Drosophila melanogaster: one gene and its partners. The protein of the gene in region 1 interacts with the protein of each later gene in a pairwise test. Each region holds a gene or a part of one and is shown in the gene's direction. Other genes may lie near its edges. The genes, in order: CG5021, CG13494 and CG14042.

Evidence for each region.
Region 2: the proteins of CG5021 (region 1) and CG13494 interact in a two-hybrid assay, tested with the Drosophila melanogaster proteins (one large-scale study listed by BioGRID).
Region 3: the proteins of CG5021 (region 1) and CG14042 interact in a two-hybrid assay, tested with the Drosophila melanogaster proteins (one large-scale study listed by BioGRID).

The regions. Positions count from the first base shown.
Region 1 is NT_037436.4:8,963,852-8,971,057, forward strand, and holds CG5021 (uncharacterized protein), read left to right. Parts: upstream 1-2,977; 5' UTR 2,978-3,117; coding exon 3,118-3,141; intron 3,142-3,276; coding exon 3,277-3,359; intron 3,360-3,430; coding exon 3,431-3,665; intron 3,666-3,714; coding exon 3,715-4,044; 3' UTR 4,045-4,320; downstream 4,321-7,206. Other genes in the region: ValRS-m (Valyl-tRNA synthetase, mitochondrial), read right to left, coding at 1-613, 682-775; CG5653 (uncharacterized protein), read right to left, coding at 1,081-2,511; CG5026 (uncharacterized protein), read left to right, coding at 5,064-5,222, 5,326-5,576, 5,647-6,034, 6,097-6,572, 6,632-7,044, 7,098-7,195.
Region 2 is NT_033778.4:21,952,200-21,958,681, reverse strand, and holds CG13494 (uncharacterized protein), read left to right. Parts: upstream 1-3,836; 5' UTR 3,837-3,909; coding exon 3,910-4,272; 3' UTR 4,273-4,440; downstream 4,441-6,482. Other genes in the region: CG43405 (uncharacterized protein), read left to right, coding at 4,730-4,999; CG13488 (uncharacterized protein), read right to left, coding at 6,278-6,482.
Region 3 is NT_033779.5:5,033,330-5,042,417, forward strand, and holds CG14042 (uncharacterized protein), read left to right. Parts: upstream 1-4,379; 5' UTR 4,380-4,792; coding exon 4,793-5,428; 3' UTR 5,429-5,781; coding exon of another isoform or gene 5,782-6,411; intron 6,412-6,479; coding exon of another isoform or gene 6,480-6,731; 3' UTR 6,732-6,790; coding exon of another isoform or gene 6,791-6,847; 3' UTR 6,848-7,489; downstream 7,490-9,088. Other genes in the region: Col4a1 (collagen type IV alpha 1), read left to right, coding at 1-621, 684-1,652, 1,735-2,879, 3,148-3,408; SP555, read left to right, coding at 5,782-6,411, 6,480-6,698, 6,791-6,847; CG31650 (uncharacterized protein), read right to left, coding at 7,553-8,210, 8,360-8,507.

The DNA.
Region 1 (7,206 bases):
GGCTCCGTGATCTCTACACTGTCCACCTCGATATCAGATATCGCGGAACGTAGAGCGGTGCACCAGTTGACAACCGAGTTGCGCCGCTGAATTAGGCCTTCTTCAAAGAGTCGCTCGAAAGCTACGTTGACCGCATGCGCCTGCTGCTCATCCATTGTGAAGTATTCTCGTTGCCAATTCAGTTTACAGCCGAGTTGGCGGAGATCCTGTACGATACCAGCACCCTTTTCCGCCTTCCAGCGCCATACTTCGTCCAGAAAAGCAGAACGTCCCAATTCATGACGGGTTTTCGCCTGAGAAGCGGCAATCGTGCGCTCTACGACCACCTGGGTGGCGATACCCGCGTGATCTGTGCCTGGTACCCAGTCCACCTGGTAGCCAAGCTGTTCGCGCTGGCGGGCAATCACATCCTGCACGGTGGCCATCAGTGCATGGCCCAAATGTAGATTCCCGGTTACATTTGGTGGCGGTAGAAGCATGCGATAGGTCCCCCGCTTGCAACTGCTGGCTGAAGCCTTGGGCAAATTTGCCTGGCGATGCTCCCGCTCCCAGTAAGCATTTTCCACTGGTTGTGGCTGGTATCCTGCTGCCAAGGGAAGCTCATTAGCCGCATCTAAAAGTGGAAAAAAGTGAGTTCTTTAGCCGGCACTGGGGTTTTGAATGAAACTGGAGGTAACGCACCTTTAAGGGTACTGTAGTATAGAGAGTACACCCTTGGCTGGCACAGGTACTTGTGTCTGAGCAGTTTACTGCTACAATTCCCAATTATTTGCATTTTTAATGTTGTGTTATGTTATGTCAAAAAAAATTGTAATCTTATTGGTGATGGTATAAAAACAGCTGAGGAGATAATCGATATACGGCTTATGGGCGCCAATTTCAAACGAGAAACGGTAGAGCTTTCCTCCTCAATTTTTTTTCAAACTTCATTATTTATTTGATTTGTCAAAAGAGAAACATAAAACATCTCAGAGGGTACGTATGTGAATATCAGGATCCAATGTAATTTTTTTTAATTTATAAAAGAGAACAATTTTATTAAGAAACCATAAAGAAAAGTACGATAAAAAAATATATTTTTCAGGCACTGACACTGCATGAGGTGTAATGATCAATGAGCCGGTCTGCCTCCCGATAGCCCGCCTCCACAGCTCCGTGAACGGTGGAAAAGTGATTCCTGCTAGACGCTTCTCCGGCAAAAAGGAGGCCTAAATGACCATCTTCGCCCAACACAGGAGACTCTAGATCCCAGGGGCCCGTATTCCTTTCATCGGCCATAACTCCACGATAACTCCAACTGCCACGGAAATTCGGATTCGAAAACCACGAGCTGCGAACGAAACGCTTTGGCGGCGGAATTTCGAAAGTGAGGAACTTTCGGAAAAGCCAGTACAAGCCCTCAAGGACTTTCTCATCGGACAGGGTCTCCATGTGGCGTCCATGCGGACCATTCACCCAGGCCATCAACATTCGGGGCTGACAAGTGATCATGTGTACACCGGTTATACCCTCCACCCAGAAATATTCCGTCTTTCGCAGCTCTATCAGATCCTCTTCCAGCCAAAAGCAGAAGAAACCCACCCAGCCGTCAGGAAGAGGTTGCTTCTCATACTCCAAATACAGTTTGTTCACAGTGCCCAGGGTGAGGCTGCGAATGGCATTCACCTTGGCTGCGGGCAGCGGCGGGACGAACAGTTTCTCGTGCTGCTCCTGCAGGACTCCCAGGGAAACGGTGCAGATGACGTGGTCCGCCTCGAAGTAATCCCCATCCTGGCAGCGCAGGATTACCTTACGGGGGCACGCCAACTCAATCTTGATGACCTTCATATCAAGTTGAATACGTCCTTCCAGTAGACCCAGCTCTTCTGGCGTATCCGCGCTGACCTTCATCAGCAGCCGCAGGAAGCGCCGGTAACCCTTCGTTCCCCAGTGGAGCAGCTTGTCGCCATCACATTCGTGGTACTCGATGTGTTCCCTAACGGAGACCTCGAAAAGATTGTCCGCACCAATAATAGAGCTTTCATGCTTCGCAAATGTATTCAAGGCCTCACTAGCCACATCCCTATTCACTTGGGGTAGCTCGGACTCGATCTTGCGCCAGAAGGTCTGAGTCAGGTGGGTGCCAAAGGATCCCACAACCGGGTGAGGTCCACTCGGCATGCTCTTCACAGCAATGTCGTGAATCCTGCAGGCCAACTCATGTGGAACCACCTCCTTGTTGGATCTCACCCTCTTTATGGGACTGTAATAGTCGCCTGTCTCGTGCAGGATACCCATATCCTTGACCATGTCGTATACACAATTTTGCTGCTTTCCATGACACCACTGGGCTCCCAAATCGATGACGTTGTCACCAAAATACACGGTGTTGATCCGCCCGCCAATGCGATCCTCCGCCTCCAGGATCTGAACATTCTGGAAATTGTTTTGCAGGAGTCGAGTGGCGGCGGCTATGCCCGAAACTCCTGCTCCGATTATGATTATCCTAGAGGAGGCACGGCATTTTTCCATTTTGAAACGTTGGTAGTTAAGTTCGACAGAAAGAGCAGACGATCAACGAGCTACTGATGAAGTTTGTGGGCTAACTTGGCAAGTGATGGATGCTGCATTTCAATGGCTTCCACTGCGGTTGGAGTACAACTTTTTGCACACTCTGCTGGTTTTCAGCCACAACCATGTAACATTGAGAATCCGGGTCACAGAACATAAAAGTCGTCTTAGATAATATTGCTTCGGCTTTTATTACTTAATATGATGCGTAAAAAATTATGTTTCATAAATAACTTAAAAGTGGCATTTTTTTCTCATTTGGCGCTGCTATTGCAAATAACAATTCCACAAACAAAATGAAGGGGAGCTCAATAAAAAATGTTTGCAAAATTTTCAAATACGATAGGTTTAAGCTCGATTACTTATGGTGCTGCCAACCCAATCGAAGTCGAAGAAGTGCTTCACCCCTGCGAGCTATCGACTCAGTGCGAAAACGATAGAAGGCTACGCAGGCAGAAACAACAACAACGTCCCAGGCGAAGAAAATATATTAAATCCCCTGAAAAACCACGAAAATCCATGAAAATTGCACCCAACTAGGAATTAGAAGTCACTCCCTACACCAGCATGGCATCCGCTACGGTAAGAAATGTATGTATGCCGCACTAACACCTAACAAGCTGCTTGATTGGGGTGCCATTCTGACAATACGATCCGAGGTTTTCCACGAAAACTCATATTTTACAACGAGGCAAGCCAAACTAATCCCACATACGTGTTACACAGGTGCCGCTGCTCGACGATGACACGATACCCTTTGGCGAGGAGGACGAGATGCGGGATCCCAGTCGCGCGGGTCAGAAATACACGTATGCAGAACCATAATGTTTGTTGATCAATTCCATTTACCCCAACCCAACCCAACGCGTGTACTCCACAGGCACCCGTACGTCACCTTCTTCCACCTGTTCTTCAGGGGCGCCGCCATCCTGATCTATATGTTCTGCGGTTGGTTCAGCGACTCCTTCATCACCAGCTTCGTTTTCGTGGTGCTCTTCCTGTCCGCCGACTTCTGGACGGTGAAGAACATCTCGGGCAGATTGCTGGTCGGTCTCCGCTGGTGGAACTACGTCGACGACGATGGCGTATCGCACTGGGTGTTTGAGTCAAAGAACGTGAGTCACGAGCATAGCTAACTAGATTGCCCTTGATAATGAAACGCAGTCTGAATCCTACCAGAGTCGGGTCAACAAGAACGAGCAGCGCATCTTCTGGCTGGGACTCATCCTCTGTCCCGTCTTCTGGGGCCTCTTCTTCCTGTTCGCCCTATTCGGCCTGAAGTTCAAATGGCTACTGCTGGTAATGATCGCCATTGCGCTGAATGCCGCCAATCTGTATGGCTACGTCAAGTGTAACTATGGTGCCAATAAGGATCTGAATTCCGCCGCCACAGACTTTGTGAAAACGCAGTTCTTCAAGAATGCCGTGGACATCATGACAAGGCCCAGTGGCGCCCCACCGCCAACAAATGTACGCCCGACGGGAGTCGTTTGAGCTGGTGGAGACGCCATCTACTAAGTCACCTTGCCACCGTCTGCTGCAGCGCATTCCAAAGAGTATTCGACGCTTCTTCTGGCGCGGACCACGACCTTCGATTGGCATCGCTGTCTGTGTACCATATGTAAAACTTAATTTAGCCATACTGCAATCTACCATAATCATTTCTTACTTTTACTCGGATTAAAGGACCGCATGTGCGTGTGACATGCAACCAGTATGCCACATGGTTTTATTTCGAATGGTTTAACTACAAATTTAAGAATAGTTATTAAAAGGGATTCAGATATAGCGAAATGTGTTTTATTTTTATTCTCTGCATCTTAATCTGAGTACGAAAGACGTGAAGCAAATAATTTTCATTACTGTTAGATTACTATAAATTATTTAGTTTATTTTCTTTTTTGTCATTTTAGTTTCATATATGAAACTGTCGTAAACATATATTTAAAAATGAAGCGTAAATATAATCATTCCTGCAAAACTAAACTAAATGAAATTGCAAAACAATTTAAAAATATTTTTACATATTAAAAAACCTGATAATTTTTTAGTTCTTTGTTAGTGGCAATAACGGTTCATAGGCAAAACGCAGTGTGGTAGTGGACGCCACAACAAAGCTTTCCGGCTCAGTGAGCGACGGGCACACTGGCACAAAGCACAAAACAGAACAGTCGGTCGGAAACGGAATCGAAAAGAAAGAAAGAAATGCAATCTGTGCCGTAAGCGGGGGCGTGGAACAAAAGTTTTTGCAGCCCGGAACGAGTTTCATTGTTAGCTGCAGAGCAGCAGTGCCGTAAGTCCGCCAAATCCCCGCCAGAACCGGTGACGTACGCACTGCTGTGGGTTCAAAAAAGGGGACTCGAAAGGCGGGATAACCGTGGCGAAGAAGGGCGGAGGTGGAAGGCGGCGTCGACAGAAGCAATCAAGTGGCAACAGGAGATAGCCGGGGCAAAATGCAAAAAGTTAATTAGTGGGGGCCAAATCAAATCGGACACCCCGCCGAGGGCGACACCATGGAATTCGCCGACCTTATAAAGACCCCCAAGCTGGACGGTGTCCTGCTGCACGACCCATCGAATGCGGGGGCGTCGGGTGCAACAGTTGGCACACTGTGCATCACAGGGCACCATTTGCTGCTCAGCGCCCGCCAGGAAACCAGCCAGGAGCTATGGGTAAGTGGGTTGAGGCCTGCCCACCTAATCCGATGTGCTTCGGCATCAGTGGAGCGCTCATAATTGAATTAGAAATTCATCATGCTCATCCCCCTCTTTTCAGTTGCTCCACAAGAACATCGACTGTGTGGAGAAGAAGCCTAGTTTGTCGCAGAATATCGTGGTCGGTGGGATTATCACCCTGAAGTGCAAGGACCTGCGCATCATTTCGTTGGAGATAAAGTGCGGCAAGGAGTTCTTCAACGTGGCCGCATCGCTGGAGGCACTCAGTGCCATCCAGAACACCGAACTGCTCTATCCATTCTTCTACCGGCCCATGTACTCGATCCTAGAGGACGGCTACACGATGTTTAGGTGGGTACACGGCTTCTCCATAACTAACAAATTGGCTACAATTCAATTAACCTCCCCATCCAAACGACAGGCCCGAGCTGGAGTTCGCCAAACTCATAAGCGGGGTTGGCATGGGCGGTGCGTCCTCGCCGAATGTGGCCAACATAACAATTTGCATGCCATCAACTTCGACATCGACGTTGACTGTGGGCGCCGGCATTCCCCATCCTCTGCAAAATGGCTATGCGATAGAAGCCCTTGCGTGTGGTGTTGGTGGTGTGGGAGGTGGTGCGCTTCAAAGTCCCCAGGCCTCCTGCGAGTGGCGCATCACCAACGTCAACAGAGACTTCAGCGTCTGTGCCACATATGGCGCCACGCTAATTGTACCTAAAGCAATTACGGACGAGCAGATAGTGCTCTCCGCTGCGTTCCGCGATGGCGGCCGCTTCCCCGTGCTCAGCTACAGGCATGAAAATGGCGTAAGTCATTGCATCTACATCATCAAATTTTATTAAATTAATTCAATGATTCATATTTGCAGGCCACACTAATGCGCAGCTCCCAGCCGCTGTCCATTCAGGGCATCAAGCGCTGTAGAGCTGACGAGGCTATCCTTAATCTGGTGCTGGGTCGCAGTCGGAAGGGGTTCATCGTGGACACTTGGGGTAAGGGCAAATCGAATACGGAAACTGACCTGCACTACTCGCAGTGGAAGAAGGTAAATCGTTCAATTGGAAACGTCAGTTCGCCCGCCTCTATTTTGGACAGCTTTGCTCGGCTTATCGAAGCTTGCAACGATTTGGGATGCAGTACTGATAAATGGCTATCGCGACTGGAGAACAGCGGCTGGCTTAGTCTTGTGCTGAACTCACTGAACGCCTCCTGTGTGGTGGCCCAATGCCTGGACCAAGAGGGAAGTCCAGTGTTAGTGCACGGTGCTAAGGGGTTGGACTCCACGCTTATAGTCACCTCACTGGTGCAGATCATTCTCAATCCGGACTGCCGGACTGTAAGGGGGTAAGTAATCATATTCTCCTTACCTTGAAAAAGATATTTATGCCGTGTTCCCTTTGCAGCCTGCAGGCTTTGATAGAGCGCGAGTGGATCCAGGCGGGACATCCGTTCGCCTCGCGTCATCGCTACTCATGCTATACACCAAATCAGACACGCAATAAGACCTCTGGTGCCACCTTCGTCCTATTTCTGGATTGCATTTATCAGCTTTACACGCAGTTCCCCTGCAGCTTTGAATTCAGCACTCAACTGCTGATCCTTCTATTTGAGCACAGTCACTTTTCGCAGTATGGAACTTTCCTGTGCGATTCAGAGCGGGAGAGAAACGAACTGAATGTGCACACCAGGACGACGAGCCTGTGGTCTTATTTGAACCGGCCTGATGTCCTTCAGACATTCTTGAATCCGCTGTACGAGCCTAATGCCAATGTGATATGGCCATCGGTGGCGCCCATAAGCTTAGAGCTGTGGAGTGGTATGTTTAAGAACTTAATATATGAAACATTACTCATCAAACATGCATTTTAGATCTCTATTTGCGGTGGGTGATAGATCAACGCAGCTCAGTCACAGTCATGTCGCAAATTCAGGAACTTGTCACCCGCGAGAAGGAACTCAGGACTCAGGTAAGTCCACT
Region 2 (6,482 bases), on another chromosome or scaffold:
ATATAAACACTTACTCACACACTGTCGTGTACGAGGGCACAAATGTGCAGTGGAAAAAAATATATTTATTACAAAATATATCCTAAAAGAACATATTACTAGCCCAAAAAGTATATCTTGCCTGCTGTTCATTCTATTCATGCGTTTCATTTACATATTATATATAAATGCAACAAAGAAATGTATGTTTTGTATCTCAAAATGATAGATACATAACTATAGACTTAAATGTAATGTATTACATATATTTCAAACTTCTTGCTAATCAATTTTTTGCAGTGCACCCGCATTTATATATAAAGATATTTGCATAACAGACGTAGACCGGATCGGAGCCCAAAAACTGTCATTGCCAAGGTTTTTACATCCGCTTGCCGCAATCATCGTCGGTTGCTGTTGTTGTTGCAGCAAAGGGGCGGGTCCTTGAGAAGGGAGCCGTAGAGCACTGGAGGGCTGGAACAATTCAATAATATTTATAGCATCGTCTCATTCTGGAAATGTCCGCGGCAACATATGCAAGTGGATATTGCTCTATTTTCAAGTGGGATTCCATTATAATATTGTTGTAAGTAGCGCAAAGGAAGGGCCTGCAGTACAGTGAAAAGAGGGGATACATTCGAATATATGCAAATCGGAGGGCTCGGTCGCGTTGACACTTTGTGACTCGAAATTTATTGGCATGTGCGGGCAGACAGAGCCGCATTTCGAAGGCAAAGATACTTTCGCAGACACCTCCTACTCAGCTATTTGATCCGAAATCGAAATCCACACATGACCAAACATTTAAATGTAATTGCACATATTTAAATTCAATGGGCCCCGTGCCAAAATATTGGAGCATTCAATTTATTACCGCCGTCGTTCGATTGCCAAGCAAATGGGGAATGGCCGATTGATGGGCGTTGTTTGGAATCCATTTAATAGCTCCTAAAAGGCGCTAATTATTTAACCACATAAATCAGGGCGAATTTATTGGCCAGAGTTGGCCCGCGAAAAAACCAATCATTTCGAGTTAGCAAAGGAAAAAGGAAAATTAAGTCAATTGTAGCCCTTCGCATGCCAGCAATACATTGTAGTCAGCAGACGAAGGACTTTAGTAGGAACTAGCCAGGTTTACCAATTTGAACTCTAATGTTAATTCTACAACATTAATATTCAGTGAATCCTGGGTCAGTAGCGTCAGCTTATCGATTTCAGTACTCTAGAAAGTCCAAGATCCTGTCTGGCCGGCAAACAAATAAAAATGGTCATGCAATATTAATATTTATGCACAAATATTGGGACTAGGGAAAGGGAGTACAAGTTTGCTTTATCTAAGTGAAATGCTAAAAGATTGATGACTTTGGCGCTGGGCTTGCCCATAGTGTGTGCCTGTATGTGTGAGTGAGTTTCTGCCACACTTATAAGAATTTATGGCAATCGAGGGCGAGCGAAACGCTGCGTATACGCAATATTTATATTTATGTATTATGAATCAATGCGAAAGGGCCGGCCAAGGCAATAAGAACAGGAGAAAAAAATGAAACGAGTATAAAAGATGCGCACTAAAACAAAAGGATAACAATAACTTTTCGCAGGATGCGTGACGTGGTAAGCAGGGCAAAAATAAGAGAAATCGAGGGAAATCCAAGCTTCTGGCCGGGGAAAAGTAAATGGTTTTGCAGACCTGCAGAGAAAGGTCCATTGGGGCGGATTATGAGTAAGATGCTCTCGATTCGCCCCCCCCCCCCAAAAAAAAAAATAAAGAACAGCGCACAGAGCCAAGTCATAAAAATTGCATGAAAATGGGGCCGGCAAATTCGGCCGCCTCATCCACCGACTCATATGTGCGGGGATTATCTGCCGGATGGGATACGCCGGGAATCCAAGTGCTTGTCTTGTTTATTTGTTTGGCTTTTACGCCAAAAATTATACTATTACAATCAAGTTTACGATTGCGATTCGCTGCCCCCGTTGAGTGCCAATGAATGCGATGATGGCAGGATACGAACATGATCATTGCCATTGCGTTTGTTCCTGATGATGATGATGATTGGTTGGGAATACACATAAATTCAGCTGCGTACGATTTTCATTGGGGACGGATATCTGACCATTTGGGACTTTTCGACTAGGAAGTCATATTTGCCGGAAGATGATTTTCTTTACATTCGCATCTATTCAAGTGGAAAGATAGCCTTAACTTGCTATAAATCCATTTCTTAGATTTAAATAGTTTCTGAAAATATATTTAGTGTAGTGAAGACGCCTGTTTAGTATTCAGTTTTACCCCGAGATGGAATCGCAGACAGATGAGCCTAGTCCTTCCGCCTTTCAACGCGTTGCCCTGCAACTCATCCTTCGTCGAATTCTAATGTGCAAGTTGACTTTGTGCAATCGCGCATTGCATGCCACGCAGTTACCCCTCAGCCCGCAGCCAAAAGCTCTTAACCCCCTGAGGATCCTCAGCCGTTCGAGGGATGCGGCAACTACACGGAGGCACCAACCGCAGCAACAACAAGGACAACGCCTGCGACAGGATATGGCAAGTGGGCAACTTTGGAGCGGGCGAGTTTAAATTGCCAGAGCTAAAAGGGTTGCCAGCAACAACGCCGTGAAAAACGTAACTTTTTTCTGCTTTCCCCTACGATTTCATTCCTTCTTTTTTCAGAAAACATCGACAAGCGGCGCTTTTGACTGCCATTACCCACATTGCCACCCCTCGCAGCTTGTTTTTTGTGGCACAAAACTTTGCACTTTGACATGCAGCCACGTGTGCCATGATGCTATATGTTAAAGGTGTGTATGTGTGTGTGTGTGTGAGTGAGTTTGCAGGTGTGGGTGAATGCATGTCTGAGTGTGGGTGTCAGTGTGAGGCAGTGAATTGAATGAGCTTTCAATGCTGCCACCGCCAATTGGCCGACAAACGTGTCTAATAGTTCCCAATTGCAATCACTGATTTGTGATTCAGAACGAGAAGTGGATTTTTACTTTCCCGGTGAGTATATTATCAGGAGTTGTTTGATCAACCTTTAGTTACTTAACACAATGTTCAGTGTTTAATTATGGTTGAAGTCCAACGCAGTTTATATTTATTATGCACGAAACAGATAGATATCTGAAAAAATATATATTCATTTCGCTGTTTATCGAAGAGCTTCCTTTTGTTTTTTGCATTAAGTTGTTGACTCATTTTCTTAATTTTCTCTGTGGAGTAATCAGCGCACAAAATACAGTCATTATAATCAACGACCTCTTGGTACAGTAAACAGCTCCCTATAACGAACCCAGGCGCACACGTGCGCACACTTGAAAAAAATCTTTCTACTCGCATGAATATTTTAAAGCTCGCATCACATTCAAATTATGATAATGATGGCGTGAGGCGAGGGTGTGTTTTTTGCATATGAGTTAAAGTGGGGGTGTTTCGCAGAGTGGGTGTTTGGAGCGCTAACGAGCGCAGGTACACACAGGAGCTCAGGGACAGCTCCCCAGATCCCCGTTCGAGGACCACCCCTCTCTGCCAACCCAATCCCAGTTCCACCCGCAAAATGCTTTCGTTAATGCATTTCATTAATTATTATACAATTCGAATGGGCATTGTATGACGGGTGGTGTGTTCGTGGGTTTAATGAGTACTTTTGTGGAAAGGATTTTAAGTGCGATTGATCGTTAGAAGTCGCTTCGTGTGGAAGCGTGACGAATGCACCTATGCCCATAAGCTTCTTTGCTTTTGTCTTTCGTAGATGGGGAACTTGAATATATTTAAAACCAAATATGATGCTAAATTGAAAGTGGGCACATATGAAAATTGTGCTGAAGGAGTCTTTGAATACACACTCAACTTTGCTGTCTGAATTTTTGTAATTTATTCTAATTTACAATAAGCTAAACGTTAAACATTTCAATACCGTCAACAAGTGATTAATCATGGATGACACATTATCAACGGTAGAAGGCGGGATGACGGAAACATCCTCATGGAGCACCACGATCGCCACCACCACCACTACAGAGGCCGCCAAGGCGGGTAGCATGGCTGTCGGTATTATTGTCCTGATCGTTGTTATGGTGCTCCTCTGCTGCCTGCTCATCATCTGCCTGCCGCTCCTCTGCCTGTGCGGCTGTTGCGGACTCGCCTGCTCCGCGTGCCTCGCTTGCGACGAAGGATGTTGTGGTGAAGGCGGCGGCGGTGGATGTTGCGGCGATGACGGCGGTGGATGTTGCGGCGATGGCGGCGGGTGTGGCGATTGTGGCGACGGCTGTGGGGACTGCACCTTGGACGATGATTAATTCGGCGATAATTCAAGTTTCTATTAATATGTACGTAGTGCTAGGATATGCGATTCGAAAGCCTATAAATTTAATGTGCTCAGGTACAGATTCGTTAGGAGCATCCGTATGCTCATTGGCAAAATTGTTGTCTATTCATAAAAAATAAAAAAATCTAGCTTAATTTTGAAATGATATCTATTAACTTAATATATGGCAACCAAAAATCAAATTTAAAGTACAAAAAAATATCGACTTCAGTAAGCTGCGACTGTACTCTTAAAATTAAAAAAAAATCTATACCCAAAATAAAATTTCTGAAGGGTCAGGGTCATCGAAATTCTTAAGCTGCTATGCAAGGAACGGTGAGAAGCATTCGTTAATTTAATGTGATTTTCCTTATACATATTTCCTTCCATTTAGAGGGTTCAATCTATTATCGAAAGCAACAAAATTTGCAATTTATTTCCCATAAGCTATGGCCGAGTTGGATGCTACAACCCTATCTGAATACGATATTGAATATATAGACTTTAACATGACAACTGTGGCGTACCGTACAACCACTGGACACCCGGATACTAACCTAGGTGCTTGGGGACTTTTGTTCATATTCGTCGTAATTTTTCTTATCATTGCTGCCTGCTGTGCTTGTATGGGTGTTCTCGTCCTTTTTGGTTGTATGAAGTCCTTTCTCTGTTTTCGCTGTAGACGCCGAGGCGACGAGTTTATAGGAAGGGAACCCTGACTGTCGTTGAAATTCTGTCATTAAAACTGAAACTTGTGCTAATAAAATTATATGTTTTGTATGAATCGAAGTCCAAAGGAATTATTTTGCCGACAAATTAATGCGGTCCTGCCAAATTACGGCAGAGTAATTGGAAAAGGATGTACTGAAGTTCAATATAACATTAACCAAACATAATTCTAAGGAGAAACGTCAGGACTTACCAGATTCCTGGACAAGTGGCATCTACCAGTAGAGAATCCTTGGCCAAAGTGCCAGTGTGACAAATGTAAACCGATTAGCCACAGCTGGGGCCGATTATCAGATGGCCCAAAGAAAATAGCCCAGGCCCTACAGAAAATGCCTCAGGTCAGGAATTTCCAGAGCTTTCTCTGCGGACTGTGGACTATGGACTGAGTGCATAAATTCCTGGCATCTCCTGCAGCTGCAGGAAAGACACAAAACACTCGCCCAAGTCCAAGTCGTAAATGCACTCAGCACTTTGTCAGCTCTCAGACAGGAAATGCAGTTGCCATTTTTCTTTCATCCCAGCAAATCCCGTTCACCTCCTGCCTTTGGCCCCCGCCCGGAAAGTCGTTCTGCAACTGTCTACATTTTTCACTTGCCATCCATAAAAAGTATCAGTTTTAGTTTCAGTTTTAGTCCTCGCTTGGCTAAAAGTCTCGTATGTCTTTTGCCTGTCTGTTGGCTCTGTTGTTTTGCTGTCTCAATTTCGCCAACGCTTCCATATTCAGTTTCATAATTTTTACCCAAGTTTATCATCCTCTTTGCCAGGCATGACAAAGTTTTCATTGCCGTCGACACAGGGCCTGGAAAAAGTTTCCTCCAGCTGTGAAGTGCATTAAACAATGCCCTCATACATGATCCGAGTGATGAGGAAGGGGACGTGCTGTGCTAAAATTGCATTTATCGAGGGGGAGTAAGTGCAAGGACACAAAAGGATAATAGCTTCGATGCACTTTCTTACTGCCAGGCGTTGGTACATGTTCAATTTACAAATGCTATGAATACGTTTTCTTTTATAAAGAACATCCACTTTCTAGCCAAGGAACTGCTTAACATAGCAATAATAAATATTACTAAAATACATTCTTAATGCAAATTCAAACTTCGTTCTTATATTGCTTTCATTGATAATACCTCAAGGTCATGGCCGGTTATATTTAAACCACAAACATTCTCTTGCTCCACCCACCCATAAATAATGTTTATAACTCTTCTTATCACTAAACGGCATATCGTATTGCCTAACAATTCGTTCACCCGGGCCGCCGCACTCTAATCTCTGAAATTTCCCAGCCATTTGACGAATTCCCTCAGCTTCTCCAATCTTCGGGGTCCGCCACGAGTCAAGATTTTCCTCCACCTGCGCTCCACAGCCAAACGATCCTCCCTGTCTATGGACTCCAGGTGCTTCCTCAACTTCCGGTATATCAGCTTCTGAAGCTGGGATGTCCGGGTCTGAACCGTGCGCTTCCATCGA
Region 3 (9,088 bases), on another chromosome or scaffold:
CGGGAGAGAGGGGCTATACCGGATTGAAGGGCAACACTGGACCACAGGGACCTCCTGGCGTTGAAGGACCCCGCGGCTTGAATGGACCTCGCGGTGAAAAGGGCAACCAGGGCGCTGTCGGAGTACCTGGTAATCCTGGCAAGGACGGCCTTCGCGGCATTCCCGGACGCAATGGACAGCCTGGACCGAGGGGAGAGCCTGGTATTTCGAGACCCGGCCCTATGGGCCCACCCGGTCTCAATGGTCTGCAAGGTGAGAAGGGCGACCGTGGTCCAACCGGACCCATTGGTTTTCCCGGTGCCGATGGCAGTGTGGGATATCCTGGAGATAGAGGCGATGCCGGTCTGCCCGGAGTATCTGGACGTCCCGGAATTGTTGGTGAGAAGGGAGACGTGGGCCCGATCGGACCCGCTGGTGTTGCCGGACCTCCTGGTGTTCCTGGTATTGATGGTGTGCGTGGACGTGATGGCGCCAAGGGTGAGCCCGGCAGTCCCGGATTGGTCGGCATGCCCGGTAACAAAGGTGACCGTGGTGCTCCTGGAAATGACGGACCCAAGGGCTTTGCTGGCGTTACTGGTGCTCCCGGAAAGCGCGGACCTGCTGGTATTCCCGGAGTTTCCGGTAAGTTTTTGCAGTATCCCATTCGAACATTTGATGTGAACCATTTGGTTTCATTTGTTCAGGTGCCAAGGGTGACAAGGGCGCTACTGGCTTGACTGGCAACGATGGACCTGTGGGAGGCCGCGGTCCTCCAGGTGCTCCTGGACTGATGGGCATTAAGGGTGACCAAGGATTGGCAGGCGCCCCTGGACAACAAGGACTGGACGGTATGCCTGGCGAAAAGGGTAACCAAGGATTCCCCGGTCTGGATGGACCTCCTGGTTTGCCTGGAGATGCCTCCGAGAAAGGACAAAAGGGTGAACCCGGTCCATCCGGACTCCGCGGCGATACAGGTCCGGCCGGAACGCCCGGTTGGCCAGGAGAGAAGGGTTTGCCCGGTCTGGCTGTTCACGGTCGTGCTGGTCCGCCAGGCGAGAAGGGTGACCAGGGACGCAGTGGAATCGATGGACGAGATGGAATTAACGGCGAGAAGGGTGAACAAGGTCTGCAGGGCGTTTGGGGCCAGCCTGGCGAGAAGGGATCTGTCGGCGCACCTGGTATTCCTGGTGCTCCCGGAATGGATGGTTTGCCCGGCGCTGCTGGTGCTCCTGGTGCTGTTGGCTATCCTGGTGATCGCGGTGACAAGGGAGAGCCTGGTCTATCTGGTCTGCCCGGACTCAAGGGTGAGACTGGACCCGTTGGACTGCAGGGCTTCACCGGTGCTCCTGGCCCTAAGGGTGAGCGCGGTATTCGTGGTCAGCCCGGTCTTCCGGCCACCGTTCCCGACATCCGTGGTGATAAGGGATCCCAGGGCGAGCGCGGCTACACTGGCGAGAAGGGCGAGCAAGGCGAACGAGGCTTGACTGGTCCTGCTGGCGTCGCTGGAGCAAAGGGAGATCGCGGATTGCAGGGACCACCAGGTGCAAGCGGATTGAACGGCATTCCCGGAGCCAAGGGAGACATTGGTCCAAGAGGCGAGATCGGTTATCCAGGAGTTACCATTAAGGGCGAGAAGGGTCTGCCCGGTCGCCCAGGCAGAAACGGACGTCAAGGTGAGTTTGTGATCCCATATTTGTATTTACACAATTGGTTCATATAACCATGTCACCAATCAACGTTATTTAACCCATTCAGGTCTTATTGGAGCACCCGGCTTAATTGGAGAACGTGGTCTGCCTGGCTTGGCCGGAGAGCCCGGCCTCGTGGGCCTGCCTGGACCCATTGGACCAGCTGGCAGCAAGGGAGAGCGTGGTCTCGCCGGCAGTCCCGGACAACCAGGACAGGATGGCTTCCCCGGCGCACCTGGATTGAAGGGAGATACTGGACCGCAGGGCTTTAAGGGCGAACGTGGTCTGAATGGCTTCGAGGGACAAAAGGGAGACAAGGGTGACCGAGGACTCCAAGGACCGTCTGGACTGCCCGGCTTGGTTGGACAGAAGGGAGATACCGGCTACCCTGGCTTAAATGGAAACGATGGACCTGTCGGAGCTCCTGGCGAGCGCGGCTTCACCGGGCCCAAGGGACGCGATGGACGCGACGGAACACCAGGTCTGCCTGGACAGAAGGGTGAACCAGGAATGCTGCCACCACCAGGACCCAAGGGCGAACCTGGTCAGCCGGGACGCAATGGACCTAAGGGAGAGCCCGGACGTCCGGGAGAGCGTGGCTTGATTGGCATCCAGGGTGAGCGTGGCGAAAAGGGTGAGCGCGGCCTGATCGGTGAGACTGGTAACGTGGGACGACCCGGACCCAAGGGAGATCGCGGAGAGCCAGGCGAGAGGGGATATGAGGGCGCCATTGGTTTGATCGGCCAGAAGGGTGAGCCCGGTGCTCCAGCCCCCGCTGCTCTGGACTATCTCACCGGTATCCTGATTACGCGACACAGTCAATCGGAAACGGTGCCCGCTTGCTCGGCTGGACACACGGAACTGTGGACGGGTTACTCCCTGTTGTACGTCGATGGCAATGACTATGCCCACAACCAGGACCTTGGATCCCCCGGATCCTGTGTGCCACGCTTCTCAACGCTGCCCGTACTGTCGTGTGGTCAGAATAACGTCTGCAACTACGCCTCCAGAAATGACAAGACCTTCTGGCTGACAACCAACGCCGCCATTCCGATGATGCCCGTTGAAAACATCGAGATCCGCCAGTACATCTCACGTTGCGTCGTTTGTGAGGCGCCGGCTAATGTGATCGCCGTGCACAGTCAAACGATAGAGGTGCCCGACTGTCCGAATGGCTGGGAGGGTCTCTGGATTGGCTACAGTTTCCTCATGGTGAGTATCGGAACACTTATAACGTTAGATTATAGAAGAATGATGAGAGTTTTCAAAATCCACAAGGGATGCGTTTCCGAAGTTTCCCTAGCTTTCCAGCAGATGGCGCACGTTCCAACGACACTCTTGCGCCATCTGTTGGATACTGCGTAGCGAAAGATTTGATACAATAGTTTTAATTTTCAACCTTTATTCCTAACTACTTGTGGGATTTTAAATAGTTCTTTTATAATGATGCTAATATTAACCCAACCATTTCCTATAATAGCACACTGCCGTGGGCAACGGTGGCGGTGGACAGGCGCTGCAATCGCCTGGCTCCTGTTTGGAGGACTTCCGTGCAACGCCCTTCATCGAGTGCAACGGCGCCAAGGGCACGTGCCACTTCTATGAGACGATGACAAGCTTCTGGATGTACAACCTGGAGTCCTCACAGCCGTTCGAGAGGCCACAGCAGCAGACGATCAAGGCCGGCGAGCGGCAGTCGCATGTGTCCAGGTGCCAGGTGTGCATGAAGAACTCCTCGTAGGACCTCCAATCCCAACACAGACACACCCACAGCACAGAGCATAAGTTTAATCTAAATGTAAAGCCTTAAAATTACCAACGAATCGTGTGCACACCCACACGATCACAACACAAACACAAACAAACAAACCAACACACACACACACATACATACACCGACGAACCAACACTGCTACAAATTCCTTAATCTAACCAAAAAGAAAAAAAAACGGATCCACAAGTCGAAGTGCTAATTACCGACCGACCTGGACCACAATGCCATTTTTTATCTGCCAATTAATGTTCTAAACAAATGTAAACTGCTTCTAAGTTACGTTACGTATGTTAAGTAAATGAAACAAATAAATAAACTAGCCTCGGTCGTATGTCCAAAAGTATAAAATAAACTATGTGCCAGCATGTTCCATTTATTTTTGAAACCGATTAAATGCGAAACAATGCAACAAAACGCGGTATCGAACGAATATCGAACGAATCGAATCCTCAACTGCTATACAAAACTTGTCGCATATCGTTTTAAAATAAACTAAAATTTATAAATACAAATTACGACCACAATTTCATACAAGCCTATTTAGAGCAAATATTGTTGAGGATAAAAAATCGTATGCCCTTCAGTGATAAACTTCCTGCAAGACAAATACTGCATACTTTTTACCCCTAACATTGAGTGATAAGATCTTCCTCAAAAGACCAGGGCTAAGGGTAGGCTATTGTGGTGGAAACCCCGTCGCGGAGAACCCTTAAAAAAGCAATGCCAAGCCAAGGATGAGAGCGAACTCACCTCGTGCACTTGTGCGCATGCCATTGCCTCTCTTTGTGCGGATTTGCGGTGGGGGAGGGGGTTGGTTAGCTGTCAAGGGGGTGGCGATGACGATTGGGGTCGCCGTGGACGGTTTGCGGGGCATAAAGTGGGGTGGACCGAGCCATATGATAATGATATGCAGACACACACACGCGCACAAAGTCCAATTGGTGGTTGGAAGCAGGTCGTGGAAAATAAGGGTAGGCCTTTGTGGGGCGATTCAAGTTGGAATCGTAAAAGTGAGTTGGAAAAAAAGTGCCAGAAGCCAGTGTGACTTGGACGCAAGCGGAGGCGGTCGTCGGTGGGAGTTGTAACTTCAGCCAGATAAGAGGAGCTGCTTTTTGTAGGTGTGGAGGAGCAGCAAGACGGAAAAAATGTGTGTACCTCGAAAAAAAAAACAGTGAAAATTGCGAGCTCTCGTTTGGAAAGCAGCGTGAAATTTGCATAAACTAACAAGACCACAAAGCCAACGGGAAGTGCACCACCAAAATCAGAGACTCCCAAGAAGCAGCAGTCTTCCGCCCCACCAAAAAAAAAAAAAAAAAAAAGGAAGAGGACACACCACCACCCCTACATATTTATGATTATCGTCCTGCTGCTGCTGTTCCAATCGCTGTGCCTCTACTGCCAACGCCTGGTGCTCTACGTCCACGACCGATGCTTCCCGAGGAACGTGCGCCTGCTGCAGGAGGTGGCCGAAACGGTGGGCGATCGTAAGGCGCCACAGCGCCTGGCGGAGCAGCAGCTGGAGCAACAGAAGCGCAGCCAGAAGCGTCGCATCCTCGAACCAATCCTTCCGCTCGTTGGTGGCCTCAATTCCGAGGCCTGTCGATTTTGTGCTCACAGTCCGCAGGGCTACTGTCGCCATCACTTCCATCTGCAGGAGCTGCAGCTGCACAGGCAGAGGGGTTCCGGTGGTGAGCAGGATTTCCGGCAGATTCGCCGAATCAAGCGGGAGCTAAAGCGGACTCTTGGCCAGCAGCAGCAGCAACTGCAACCGACGAGAAGCTATCGTCCAGTCCGACTGAGTGCCAGCTGGAGCAGCAGTTCCCTGAGCAGTGGTTACGCTTCACTGACCAGCGTTGGATCGCAGGAGCAGGAGGAGGCGTCCTTCGATCAGGATATTATTGAGGACGTTCCACTGGAGGAGGAAGCGGAGCTGCAGGACCTGCCGCAGGAGGATATCCAACAGCCCCTACTAACCACTTACTTGTAGATAAACGCCTCTTGGTCTCATCCTTGCATAAAGAATCATCCACTTGGAGTTCGTCTGGAGAACTGAAGAACCCTTCATAAAAACTATGCTATAAAGATGTATTGAAAAAAATTGTATAACATAGTTAACCACCAGAGAAACGAAAGAACAAACAACTACGAGCTAAAGACGCCACCCCTGAAGCCGCTCCTTGAACGATTTCAACAACTTTTGAGACCTGGAGAAGCTCATCAACCCCAGGAAGCCAACCCTATTGAAAACTTAACCCCCCCCCCCCCTCCCAACAGTTCGAAGGGTTCCCTTTGTCAAATTGATACAAATTGAGAAGCGAAAAAATTTCTAGTCGCAACACAATGTCTGATGTTGAAGTGGATCCACAGCAGGCTCACCCCCATCCCATAGCGGCAATTGCCCCGAGGAGACGTCGTCCAACCGGTCGACGAGGAGGAGTAACAGGAGGGTTGTCGTCCGGTTCACTGGATGCATCATCTTCCACATCGCCGCCACCCCGTTTCTGTCCGCTGCCCAATGGCGTTGAGGATAACTGGACGTGGAGCAAGCGGCACCGCTCCAAGGAAGTGGTGCTCAGAGGACCCAACTCGCGGACCGTGCACTTCCATCCCAACTGGAGCAAGGGCACTGCCGGTGTCCAGGGCAAAAGATCCCTGAATAACGGACGGCATTACTGGGAGCTTCATGTCTCGCAGCGCGTCTTTGGCACCTCGATAATGTTCGGTATCGGTACCAAGTCGGCACGGCTACATGCCAACGCCTTCCGGAACATGCTGGGCGAGAACGAACACGGCTGGGGACTGTCCCACAAGGGCGTGCTCTGGCACGAGGGCGTGGCCCTGCTGTACACGAAGCGGTTCCGCGAGAATCAACCCACCCAAATTGGCGTTCTCTTCGATGGCATTGAGGGCACACTCACCTTCTACAAGGATGGCAAGTGCCTGGGCGTTGCTTTCCGCGGATTGGATCAGGTGAGTCCGGTTGAATTGTTCAATCCTCCAAGGATCAGGCTCTAGAATCTCGCCTAACTGCCCAACAGATTGATGAGCCCCTGTACCCCATCGTATGCTCTACTGCCGCCAAAACGGAGATGACCCTAAAGTGCACCAGGAGGGAGTTCGTCAACCTACAGGATCGCTGTCGGGCGGTGATCATGCGCCGCGTACGAAGCGCTGCGCAGCTGGAGAAGCTGAAGCTGCCGCTGCCCATCGCCGACTATCTGAGCGAGGTGATCGACGAGAAGAAGCCACTGCGTCAGGTAGACAACTACGATATACTGTGTGATTTGTAGAGCTCGGATCGTGTCCGGTCAACGTAAGCTAAGTTTATAGAGTACGTCCTCGCCCCCAGGTGAATCAGCTGGAGATGTGCATTATGAATTACGATTTGTATGAGGCCCGTGAATGATTTTAGTGCCATCACATATTGGAGTGCCCAATGACTACCAGACGATGCAGTGGCTCCTCTGGGACGTGTGCATTTCTCGTAGTAGCTTTAGAGCGTGCTAAGTTTAAGCATTCGGAATTTGTGTGGATAATAGTCGTCCGACCTTTTGATTTGTCTTCATTTGTAGCGAAAATGTGGGAAAATAGGCCAATTTGGTGCAATATTTGTGATATAAGAAATGAGAAAAACGTTTTTCGGGGCTTCAAGTGCTTGCTAGAAAATCGCAAAATAATCTAGAGCTAAGCATATTTTTCGGTACAGACGAGTGTGAAATCTAGTCAAAAAGAACACGCTGCTAAACTAATTTTGTAAATTCGCAGACAGCAATTAAGGCCTAAGTACTGTAATGTAACAAAATGAAAATGTGTCTAGTCATAAATTGCATATAAAGCAAAGTGTAATTTAGTAAAAATTATTTAGTACGCTTTATGTAGATTTTTGTTTCTGTTTATATAAATTACTACACATAATGTAATTGATACATGACGAAACAAACGAAATAGTATTGAAAATTAAATTCGTAAGAAGTGCTCAAAAGAATTTGGCGATATTGATTTGCAATTGTCACTTGAATTTACATAAATAAACATAAATTTACTAACTATTTAAACGAAATACAATACTAAGCACAGGTTCACTATAGCACGATGGGGCTTTGAATGGCATCTAGAGCTCGTCGGAGAGATGGTTAATGTTTTGTAAATGGTCGCCGTAGTCGGTGGCCTCACTGCCCACAAAGGTATCGTAGTTGTTGAGTATTTCCAGGTAGGACAGGCGATCGTCGTGATCCTCATCGGTGGAGACAAAGAGATGGTCCACCTCGTCGTTGGCAATTGCCGTATTGCTTGGCACAATCCAGGATAAGACCTCATCGCCCGTCAGCACGCCATCGCCATTGGAGTCGTGATCCTTGTCGAAGCGCTCCTTCTCCGTGATCAGCCACTCCTTGTCGTGGTGCGAGGCTGCGTCGCCGACAAACTCCTGGAAGTTGATCTTGCCATCGTGATCCGCATCTTTGTCCTGCATCGTGTGCTCCAGCAGTATTGGCAACATTTGTGGATGCTCCTCGGGATTTTGGAATAAAACGAATTCCTCCAGCGTCAGCACACCATCCTTGTTCGTGTCGGCCGCATTGAACATCTCCTTGTCCTGCTTGATCATCTTCTGCTCATCCTCGTAGCTGTCGTAGTCGATGGTCTCCTTCTTGAAGTCCTCATCCTCCATGGCGTATGTGTCCTGGAGATACTCCTTCCACGTAATTCTCTCGTCCGCATCCTGGTCTATTTCTTCAAATCGATCAGCGGCTTCTTCCTCCGACAGTTTTCTGCAAGTTGTATTATGTATTTTAGTAAAAGCTTCAAATAGTCTATGCGTTTTCAGTTTAGGCAAGCATTTAGACAAAGCATTAGGTTGCTGAGGTGATTATTGGCTTGGCTAACATTGATGCAGTATTAATCAACAGACAACACTCACTTAAAGGACCTTAATATCCAGGCTTTCAACTCATGCCGGTCAATAAATTCGTCCTTATTCAGATCCATCATTTTGATCAATATCAACAGTCGTCGCTTCGATTCGTCTGGCGAAAGTGAGTCGAATTCCTGAGCCTCTTTCGTGTTGCCTTTTTTGTGGTTAAAGAGTAATAATAGCACACACATACATTAGCATTTAAAACTGAATGGAACATAAAACAGCAGCAATGCCATTGACGTATTGCTTTTAGAAAACAATTTTAATGATTTCACTATAAAACTATACAAACTTATATACTTCAATAATACATTTTCTTACAGCATATTCCAATTCATTAGTAAACTATATTTCGACCTTCAAGCAATATTTTTGAGCATAAATGGGTATGTGTATTGACTGATCCGTATTCTCTTGATGCTTGAATGAGTCTTTCCGTGTGCAGACCCACAAAAATAAACCTCAGGCAAGTAAACAAACATATGGCATACACCATAGCATACACAAAAAAAAAGTATGAGTCCTTTTCATAACTAAAATAATACAAAATTATGGTCAATACTCATAATTTCATTGGGTTGGAAAGTATCCTTAAAATAAACTTTTATATTTCTACAAATTAACAACTGAAACTGGAAATTCTATTGTTGTTCTGGCAAAAAAACGTGATTATATTTTATTTGCTTTTCAGGAAATGAGCACTACTTTTATGACCTTCATTGTAAGGAGTCT